2 linked regions of the Canis lupus familiaris genome follow. The main gene of each other region encodes a partner of the protein of the gene in region 2 in a complex. Links are inferred from orthologs where the notes say so. Each region holds a gene or a part of one and is shown on either strand. Other genes may lie near its edges.

Evidence for each region.
Region 1: the proteins of KATNB1 (region 2) and KATNA1 are in contact, whole or in part, in a crystal structure (PDB 5OW5), measured with the Mus musculus proteins. The link is inferred for Canis lupus familiaris from reciprocal best matches to the Homo sapiens genes KATNB1 and KATNA1. Residues at the interface, in NP_083081.2 of Mus musculus: Leu485, Val486, Asp487, Glu488, Ala490, Met491, Gln493, Ile494, Arg495, Gly497, His498, Met501, Phe502, Val504, Leu505, Thr506, Arg508, His509, Leu512, Asp513, Val515, Arg516, Trp519, Thr521, Asp542, Leu543, Ile546, Gln549, Lys550, Leu553; in NP_035965.2 of Mus musculus: Leu5, Gln6, Ile8, Val9, Val12, Arg16, Ala19, Leu20, Leu21, Gly22, Tyr24, Tyr31, Tyr41, Leu50, Lys53, Trp54, Gln56, Val57, Glu60, Ile61, Val63, Glu64, Gln67, Val68, Asp70, Ile71, Thr74, Leu75, Ser77, Phe78.

What each region holds. Positions count from the first base shown.
Region 1 is NC_049222.1:40,682,080-40,686,173, forward strand, and holds the start of KATNA1 (katanin p60 ATPase-containing subunit A1), read right to left. Parts: upstream 2,801-4,094; 5' UTR 2,547-2,800; intron 1-2,546. UniProt on the Homo sapiens protein: Catalytic subunit of a complex which severs microtubules in an ATP-dependent manner. Microtubule severing may promote rapid reorganization of cellular microtubule arrays and the release of microtubules from the centrosome following nucleation.
Region 2 is NC_049223.1:58,005,258-58,009,434, reverse strand, and holds the end of KATNB1 (katanin p80 WD40 repeat-containing subunit B1), read left to right. Parts: coding exon 1-28; intron 29-144; coding exon 145-275; intron 276-694; coding exon 695-745; intron 746-1,665; coding exon 1,666-1,733; intron 1,734-1,843; coding exon 1,844-1,963; intron 1,964-2,054; coding exon 2,055-2,204; intron 2,205-2,453; coding exon 2,454-2,530; intron 2,531-2,610; coding exon 2,611-2,685; intron 2,686-2,920; coding exon 2,921-3,037; intron 3,038-3,266; coding exon 3,267-3,399; 3' UTR 3,400-3,677; downstream 3,678-4,177.

The DNA.
Region 1 (4,094 bases), on a different chromosome or scaffold from region 2:
AAGAATAGGCAATAGATCCAAACATCTGAGGTTCTGAGATTCCTACACTCCCCCCCCCCCCAAAAAAAATATGAGGCCTTCCCTATTCCACACCTAAGAATATCATATCCATTTAATATTTTAGGGAGTCAGGCTGGGTTCCACTAATATTCCAGTTTTTACTGTAATGTGCATAGGTCACTCACTCAGGAAATATTAACTGGGTAACTACTCAGTTCCAAGGAATTGCACTGAAAACAAAAATAAGACTTAAACCTTTATATCCTTGAAGTTTAATAGAACATCATTGATCTATTCTAGGTGTATTTGCTTCACTTAGGAGAAGCATGGCATATTATTAAGCACAGGCTACAAAAATCAACACCTATGTTGAAAATATTTATCTGTAAAACTGATGTCCTAAAACAAAAACAAATGAACCTCATTCATAGATTTTCTTGAAGGAATTTCAGTAAATCAAGTGTATGTAACTTTAAAAGTGACAATACTATTAAGCAATGTTCAGAAAGTTCATCTCTGGGATATGAAAACAACCATAATGCTAACTTAGTCACTAACAATTATAAATATATACAATAAATGAGTGATCCATGACCAATTATAGCATGGCATACATTTTTCCTACCTTTATAATCACCATATGATAAATACTCAAGAAGAACAAGAAAGTTATCCAAGTGTGCTTGCTCAGGAAAAAAAGAATACATAAATATGTATTTGATAACCTCTCAGTTTACCCTGAACAAAACAAAAATAAGTCAATATAACAATTAAGATGTAATTTAAAAGCCATATTCAGGGGCACCTGGGTGGCTCAGGTCATGTCCCAGGTTCCTAAGATGAAGCCCCGCATCCGGCTCCCTGGTCAGAGTGGAGCCTGCTTCTCCCTCTTCCTCTGCCACTCCCCCTGCTTGTGCTCTCTGTCTCTCAAATAAATAAATAAAATCTTAAAAAAAATAAAATAAAAGCCATATTCAAGCCATAGCAATAAACACTATAAGCATATCTATTTATCATGTTGTCAATATTGATTATACTGATTTGATACACTATCTTTTTTTTTTTTACCAATCACATAGCCAAAAAGAAAAACCTAAACCATTGTCGCAAACATATATTCAACAATGTCGGGACACCTGGGTGGCTCCGTGGTGGAACACTGCCTTTAGCTCAGGTTGTGATTCCTGGGTGCAGGGATCGAGTGCTGCATTCAGTTCCTAGAGGGAGGGCCTGCTTCTCCCTCTGCCTCTCTCTCTCTGTCTCTCATGAATAAATAAAATCTTAAAAAAAAAAAAAAAAAAGAAATTCAACAATGTTGTTAGTACAGTGAATTCTACAAGATTCCCAAATCCTTAGTATTTGTCAAACTATGACATCAGTTTCAAAATAAGATGCAGAATCCATTGTATATATAGTATGCTGAGTACTGAATCTGTAAAGTGTAAAAGCTTCTTGAATAACCAATGCCCTAGAGGAGCTTTACATAGCTTTCCACGGTTTAGGAATGTTGGAAATTGATCAGCACTGCTTTAAAAAAAAAAAAAAAAATTTTTTTTTTAAGGCATGATACAGGCCACAAATTAATAGAAATTACAAAATAGAGTTCTGCAGTTATTTCTGTGTGAGAACTCCCTGATTACAAAAATCATCTCCTTTGGAAAAGACAATGCGGCTACACATTGAGACATTTAGAAGCCTGTGAACTTTACAAGAATCTTTCTTGACACGGTGGTTTTCTATCGTTGTGGCAGAGGTTCTAAAACATTAGGAATGTTTTTAGCAGTAACTAAAGGTAGGATTTCAAGGAGAAACACAGAAGTGAATGCTTTCAGGAGAAAAGGATGCAAAATTGTGCTGCTGGAAATTTAGTAACTGATATAAAACAGCACTTCGCAGTTAAAAGGAGAAAATTATTTTTGATTAAATAAGGGCTGAGACTATCCGCTGTAGGGGGCACGTAAGGATCCACGTTATCTCCAACTTCGTCACCCTAGAAATATACGATCTGAAACAAATGTTTCGAGGGATACATTTGCCAAAAGGTACCAACTCTGGACCAAAAGGGCCAAAAGCCTCCCAGAGGACGCGGGGCGCCAGAATAAAGCATATCCTCAACAATATCACTCGTATCTAACAAAATGTAAGAGAAGTTGCATCCCGCTGTCAAGGTTTTCAAGGTTTTTCGGGGGTGAGGGTTTGGGGCGGGTGCGTGGGCAGATTCCGAGGACAGCCGCTCAAAAAAAAAAAAAAAAAAAAAAAAAGCGAAGGAATAAAGAAAGACGTTTTTTTCCGATGAGAGACTCCTCCGATGACACAGGCCTAGCAAGGGGAGCGCCAGGGGCCCCCCGAATCCCAGGCTCGACAGCACTCCTCAGGTAGGGGACGCGTCACCTGAGCCACAGGTGTCAGCGACAACAGCAAGGACCCAAGACCCCGGCGCAGCCAAGGGCAGGCTCAGGGCAGGCTCAGGGGAGGATGCGAGGCGGGCTCGTCGCCGCCCGAGCGCCTCGCCGAGCGGGCCCGGGGGGTCGGGGGTGAACACTCACCTGCGGCTGCCGAGGCTCCGTGGGAAGCCGCCCACCGCCAGGCGGAGGGGAAGGGCCGTGCGGGCTCAGGGCGGCGAGGAGGCCGGGCCCTGCGCAGCCCCAACCACTCTGCTCTGTGCTCACCGCCCCAGGACGGCGATGTCCAACCGCCACCAGCCCCGGCGCCGCTTCAGCTCGCCGAGAATTTGAAGGCAAACCCGCCAGGGTCACTTCCGGTGCTGGGGGCGGCCTCGGCGGCTCCAGCGCACGCGACGCGACGCCCCGGGAGCGAGGACGCCGGGCGGCGTGCGCGCGCCGGGCGCCAGGCCGGGGGGGGGGGGGGGGGGGGGCGGGGGGCGGGGCTGCAGGGGCGCGCCTGCGCAGTCCGCACGGTCTCCTGGCGGCGTTCGGGGCGGGTAGTAGGGATGCGCGGCGTGAAGCTAGTAGCATCCCACGTCGTACCTTGGTATCTTCTTCAAAGTTCTCGCTCCCTTTTCCTCCCATTTGATTTCCACCGTGCTCCTCAGAGGTTAGGAAGCCAGAGGGTCTGTTTTACTGGTGAGTGCCAAGGGCCAAATAATTTATGACAGATCCAGTTTTAGAACCAAATAACGCAGAATTCGACTGGGGCGCTGGTCACGACCTAAGACTGATAACATAGGGAATGGGTGAACGAAGATATGCGGACATGCTGCTCGTGGAGTTTTGTTTTCTTGATTTATTTATTTATTTATTTATTTATTTATTTTTTTGGCCATCATTTTAATGCAAGCGGACAACACAATACTGTGATGTGCCAGGATTTGCAGATGCGTGCTCCACGGTACAACTGGCCAGGCTTCCTCAGCCTCCATCTCCGTCCTGTCCCAACACCTAAGAGGCAAGAGGTGCGAGACGCGTTCTCCTTTAGGAGCGCATGGTCGTTGAAATTATAATCTTAAATCATCGCAGTAATTTAACACAGATTTATATAAAGACATTCAGTTCAAAGGAAAGCTATCCATTTATTCCACTGATATTTATTGAGCAACTACGATGCTGTTGACACTGTGGTAGGCATCAGGTATACAGCAATCAAAAAAATATAATGTCTCCGGACGCCTGAGTGGCCCAGCGGTTAAGCATCTGCCTTCCTCTCCGGGCGTGATCCTGGGGCCCTGGGATGGAGTCCCGTGTGGGGCTCCCTGCAGGGAGCCTGCTTCCCCCTCTGCCTGTGTCTCTGCCTCTGTGTGTCTCTCATGAATAAATAAACAAAATCTTTAAAAACATACGTGTAATGTCTCATGGAGATTAAAGTCACACATTTTAAAAATTTTTATTTATTTATTCATGAGAGACACAGAGGGAGGCTCCATGCAGGGGCCCCAATGTGGGACTCGATCCTGAGTCTCCAGGATCACACTCCCGGATAAAGGCGGCGCTAAACCACCCAGCCACCTGGGCTACCTAAAATTCTCAGCTAAGTAGAGAATAAGTGTTGCTGTGGATAGGAACTCCACAGTAACAGAGCACCGGAAATTGTAATTAGTTTACTATCTATTTATTTATGAAACAGAGAAAGAGGCAGAG
Region 2 (4,177 bases):
CCAGCACAGCCTGCAACAAGCCTCAGAGGTGGGGTGCTCAGGGCCCAGAGGGCTCGGGAGGCAGGCTGGCACTGGGGAGGTTTTGGGGGAGCCCAGCTGCAGCTCACTGGGCTGGCCTCCCGTTGCCTTGGCCCTGCCCCACAGGGTGAAGCAGAATTCAGAGAGTGAGCGCCGAAGCCCCAGCAGCGAGGACGACCGGGACGAGCGGGAGTCTCGGGCCGAGATCCAGAACACCGAGGAGTACAACGAGATCTTCCAGCCCAAGAACAGCATCAGTGAGGCCTGCCCCCCGCCCCCCCACCCACCTAGCCGAACGTCCCATCTGTGCATAGAGACAGACGGTGTCAATGTCAGTGACAGTGTCACTGTCGGGGACAGTGTCAATGTCGCTCTGTTTCCGACGCTGGGTTCCCAGCTCACACCTGGGCCCCGGCTCCGTTCCCAGGTCCTCAAGGCCCCAGAAGAGGCCTGGCAGCCCGCCCTGAGCAAAGGCAGGCCCCATGGGGGCAAGTAGATGGGAGGGGGCAGACCTGAGGGTTCCTGGGACCGGGAACAGGGTCACGAGTCTGCAGCTGTGTGTGTACCAGAGAGCCACCTCCCGTCCCCCGTGTCCCAGGCCAGCCTGGCCCTTAAGGCTCAGGCAGGACCCCGGGCTGGCCAACGGGAGAGTCCCCAGCCCTCTTTGCCTCTGCAGGTCGGACACCACCCCGAAGAAGTGAGCCCTTCCCAGCACCCCCTGAGGACGGTGAGTACAGAGCCTGGCCTCCTGGGGGCACCAGCTCCAGCCTCTCTCCCACCAGATCTTTTTCCTATGCTCACCTAAAAGCACCTACTGTGCGCTGGGCTCCACCCTAGATTCTGGTGCATGAGCAAGGCAGGCAGGTGCTGTCCTCAGGAGCCTGCACCCTAGTGAGGAGGGCAGGAGGCAGCCAGATGGGACTGTAGATGGGACTGTCTGTAGATGGGACAGCACCGTGGAGGCAAGGGCGGGGCTGGTGAGAGAGAGCTGCTGAGGGCCTGTAGGAGAGGGAGGAGCTGGGGAGAGCCACAGGTGGGGAGGGGGTGGAGGCAGAGGGGCAGGGCTCCCTGGGGTCTGGGAGCAGGAAGCCAGGCCCTAGCTGGGGATTTGGGTTTTGCTGCTGGGAGAAAACATGATCTGCTTTCTGATTGGAGAAGAAGCCGGGGTGGGGCACCCTTGTCCCACAGACCAGCCCTCCCCTTCACCTGGCTTCCTCTTCAATGGGCCATCTTCTCATTCCCCCTGCACGTGGGGTTTCCTGTGCTTCCTGCTCACCATGCACTCACTGCCAGCCCACCCCAGCACACACACTCCATTCCCAGTGAGGGGCCAGGCCACTCCTGGGAGCTCCCTGGCTCCCATCTGCAGGCAGTGCTTGACACCTGCTTTCTGCCAGATTTGTGGGTGAGTGGGTGGAGAAAGGGAGGGAACATCTAGCCCCCACCCTCAAGCCTCCCCAGGAGTCTCCCCACCTCTCCCCCCACATACACACTGCTGCTGTCTCCTTCCCCAGTTGCCCCATTGGCTCCTGCTTCATCCCCCCAGTTAACAGATGCAGCCCAGAGGCCCACCATAAGCCCCGCCTTCTTCCCCAGCCAGTCCCTCTGGCCTGACCCGACCCAAAGATCTTTCCCTTTTGCCTCCAGACATGGCCACAGCCAAGGAGGTGGCAAAGCCCAGCCCAGCCACGGACTCGCAGTTCCCGGTGCCAAATGTATGTCTGGGTGGAGAGGGCATGGTAGGGCTGGGAGAGGGGCCCTCCGTGCCAGGGTGGGCGGAGAGGGGGCCTCAGGCTGGCCACCCACTGAGCTCCAGCCCCAACAGCTCGAGGTCCTGCTCCGGCCCCCGGCTGTCACTTCCACTCCTGCGCCCAAGGCTGAGCCTGCCATCATCCCAGCTACCCGGAATGAGCCCATCGGGCTAAAGGCGTCTGACTTCCTGCCCGTGAGTGGGGGCCCAGCCCCGGGGCAGGGTGGAAGCCTGTGGGGCAAGGACAGAACGTCACCGTTGGCACCTGGGCACTCGTCCTACGCAGGCCGTGAAGATCCCCCAGCAGGTGGAGCTGGTCGACGAGGACGCCATGTCACAGATCCGCAAAGGCCATGACACCATGTGTGTGGTACTTACCAGCCGCCACAAGAACCTGGACACCGTGCGGGCTGTGTGGACCACGGGTGACATCAAGGCAAGCACTTTTCCCCCAGGCTTTGGGCTGACCCCAGACAGCGGCTGCACAAGGGCAGAGGGGCCCCTGTCACCACTCTGGCTGATTTCATGCCATCATCGTCATCATTTATTGAGCGCTTCTTTACGGACCTGGCCTCACCCATCATTTTAGCTACAGTCTTGTTAACACCCCACAACAAAGCCCATCATGACGCCACTCCCCGGGCAGGGGCTCCAGGCCCCTCTGACAGGTGCTCTGTTTGCATAGACGTCAGTGGACTCAGCTGTGGCCATCAATGACCTGTCCGTGGTCGTGGACCTCCTTAACATTGTCAACCAGAAAGCGTAAGTAGGCGTGGTGGGCGGAGCGGGTCGAGTGAGTGGAGCCAGGTGCTGAGGGTACCTGTCCCTGGTCCTCTCCTCAGCTCCCTGTGGAAGCTGGATCTGTGCACCACGGTCTTGCCGCAGATCGAGAAACTTCTGCAGAGCAAGTATGAGAGGTACATGTAGGGAAGCCATACCTGCCTTACCACAGGGACGGGGAGGGACAATGGGAAGGACCCCCCAAGGCCAGTGCCCCTGGGAGGTGGGTGTGTAGCAGTGCTGTCCCCTGCAGGTGGGAAGCCATGGTGCACACAGGCCTGTGCTGCCCCTGGCCCCCTGCCTACCCCCTCTGTCTTTGTGTACCCTGCTCTCCATCTTTCTCTCTGTGGCTCTGTCCATCTGCCTCTGAAGCTATGTCCAGACCGGCTGCACCTCCCTGAAGCTGATCCTGCAGCGGTTTCTGCCCCTGATCACTGACATCTTAGCAGCACCCCCCTCTGTGGGTGTAGACATCAGCCGGGAGGAGAGGTGAGGGGCCAGGTGGGGTGTGAATGTTGGGGTACACAGGTCTGGGGGCCCAGCCTGCTTGCTGATGGCTCTGCTGGAATAGCCCACAGAGGAGGTTGTGCCTGGGCTTGTCCGTGGCCTGGCCTGGGTGGGTCCTGTACCCTGGGCCTCGGCCAGCCTCCCAGAGGAGGGCGGGAGTAGTTCAGCAGGAAAGGGCCTAGCCCTTCGTGCACTACTTCTCTGCCCACAGGCTACACAAGTGCCGGCTCTGCTACAAGCAGCTCAAGAGCATCAGTGGCCTCGTCAAGAGCAAGTCAAGTTTGAGTGGCCGTCATGGCAGCGCCTTCCGAGAGCTGCACCTACTCATGGCCAGTTTGGACTGAGGAGCTTTCGGCCTGGCCTCAGCCCCTAATCCTGTCCCCTGTGCGCTCCTGGGCCCAGGAGCCTCTGCCCAGCCCCCGCTGCAGCCCTGTGGCCACCCTGGAGGCGGCAGCGCTGGCCCACCAGCCACCTGCACAGCCCCCGAGCTCTCAGACAACTTCTCCCCAGCAGCGGCTGCCCAGCTTTGCCAACTCCCGCTTCCTGGGGCAGCAAAGAGCGCCCTGGGGCTGCTGGTGTAATTTATAAGGTCAATTTTATTAAATTTGTAACTATTCCCTGGTTTCTTTGCCTGGAGGGGAATTCTCTGGCCACGCAGCTCAGCTCGCTCAGGCCCAGGACTGGCCTGTCTTGGCCCCTCTGAGCCAAGAGGCAGTGTGGCCAGCTGGGGGCAGCAGAGTGCCCGGCCTGCCGGAAGGGGCCAGTGCAGAGCACGCTGGGGGAGGAGCGGAGGCACCCCCCTCTTCCAAGGCTAAGGGAGACAGGAGAGGGGTGGGCCCCACCAGCCCATCCCCTCCATCTCAGCCACGCTCCCAGCTGTCCTGCGGATGCCTCAGGGGCCGGCCGACAGCTGTATGCTTCCAGGTGCCAGGACCCCAAGCCTCACAGGCTTGGCCACCACTGAGCCCACCACCCTCCCCAACGCCTCCAGGAGGCCTCCTGGGACAGGGCTGGAAGGGCAGTGGCCCTCCTCCCAGGAGGATCCCCCAGCGCTGACCCCTTCTGCTCCTGTGGCAGCCCTAGTTGGAGAGAGGGCCCCACTGAGCCCCTGTGCACATTCCC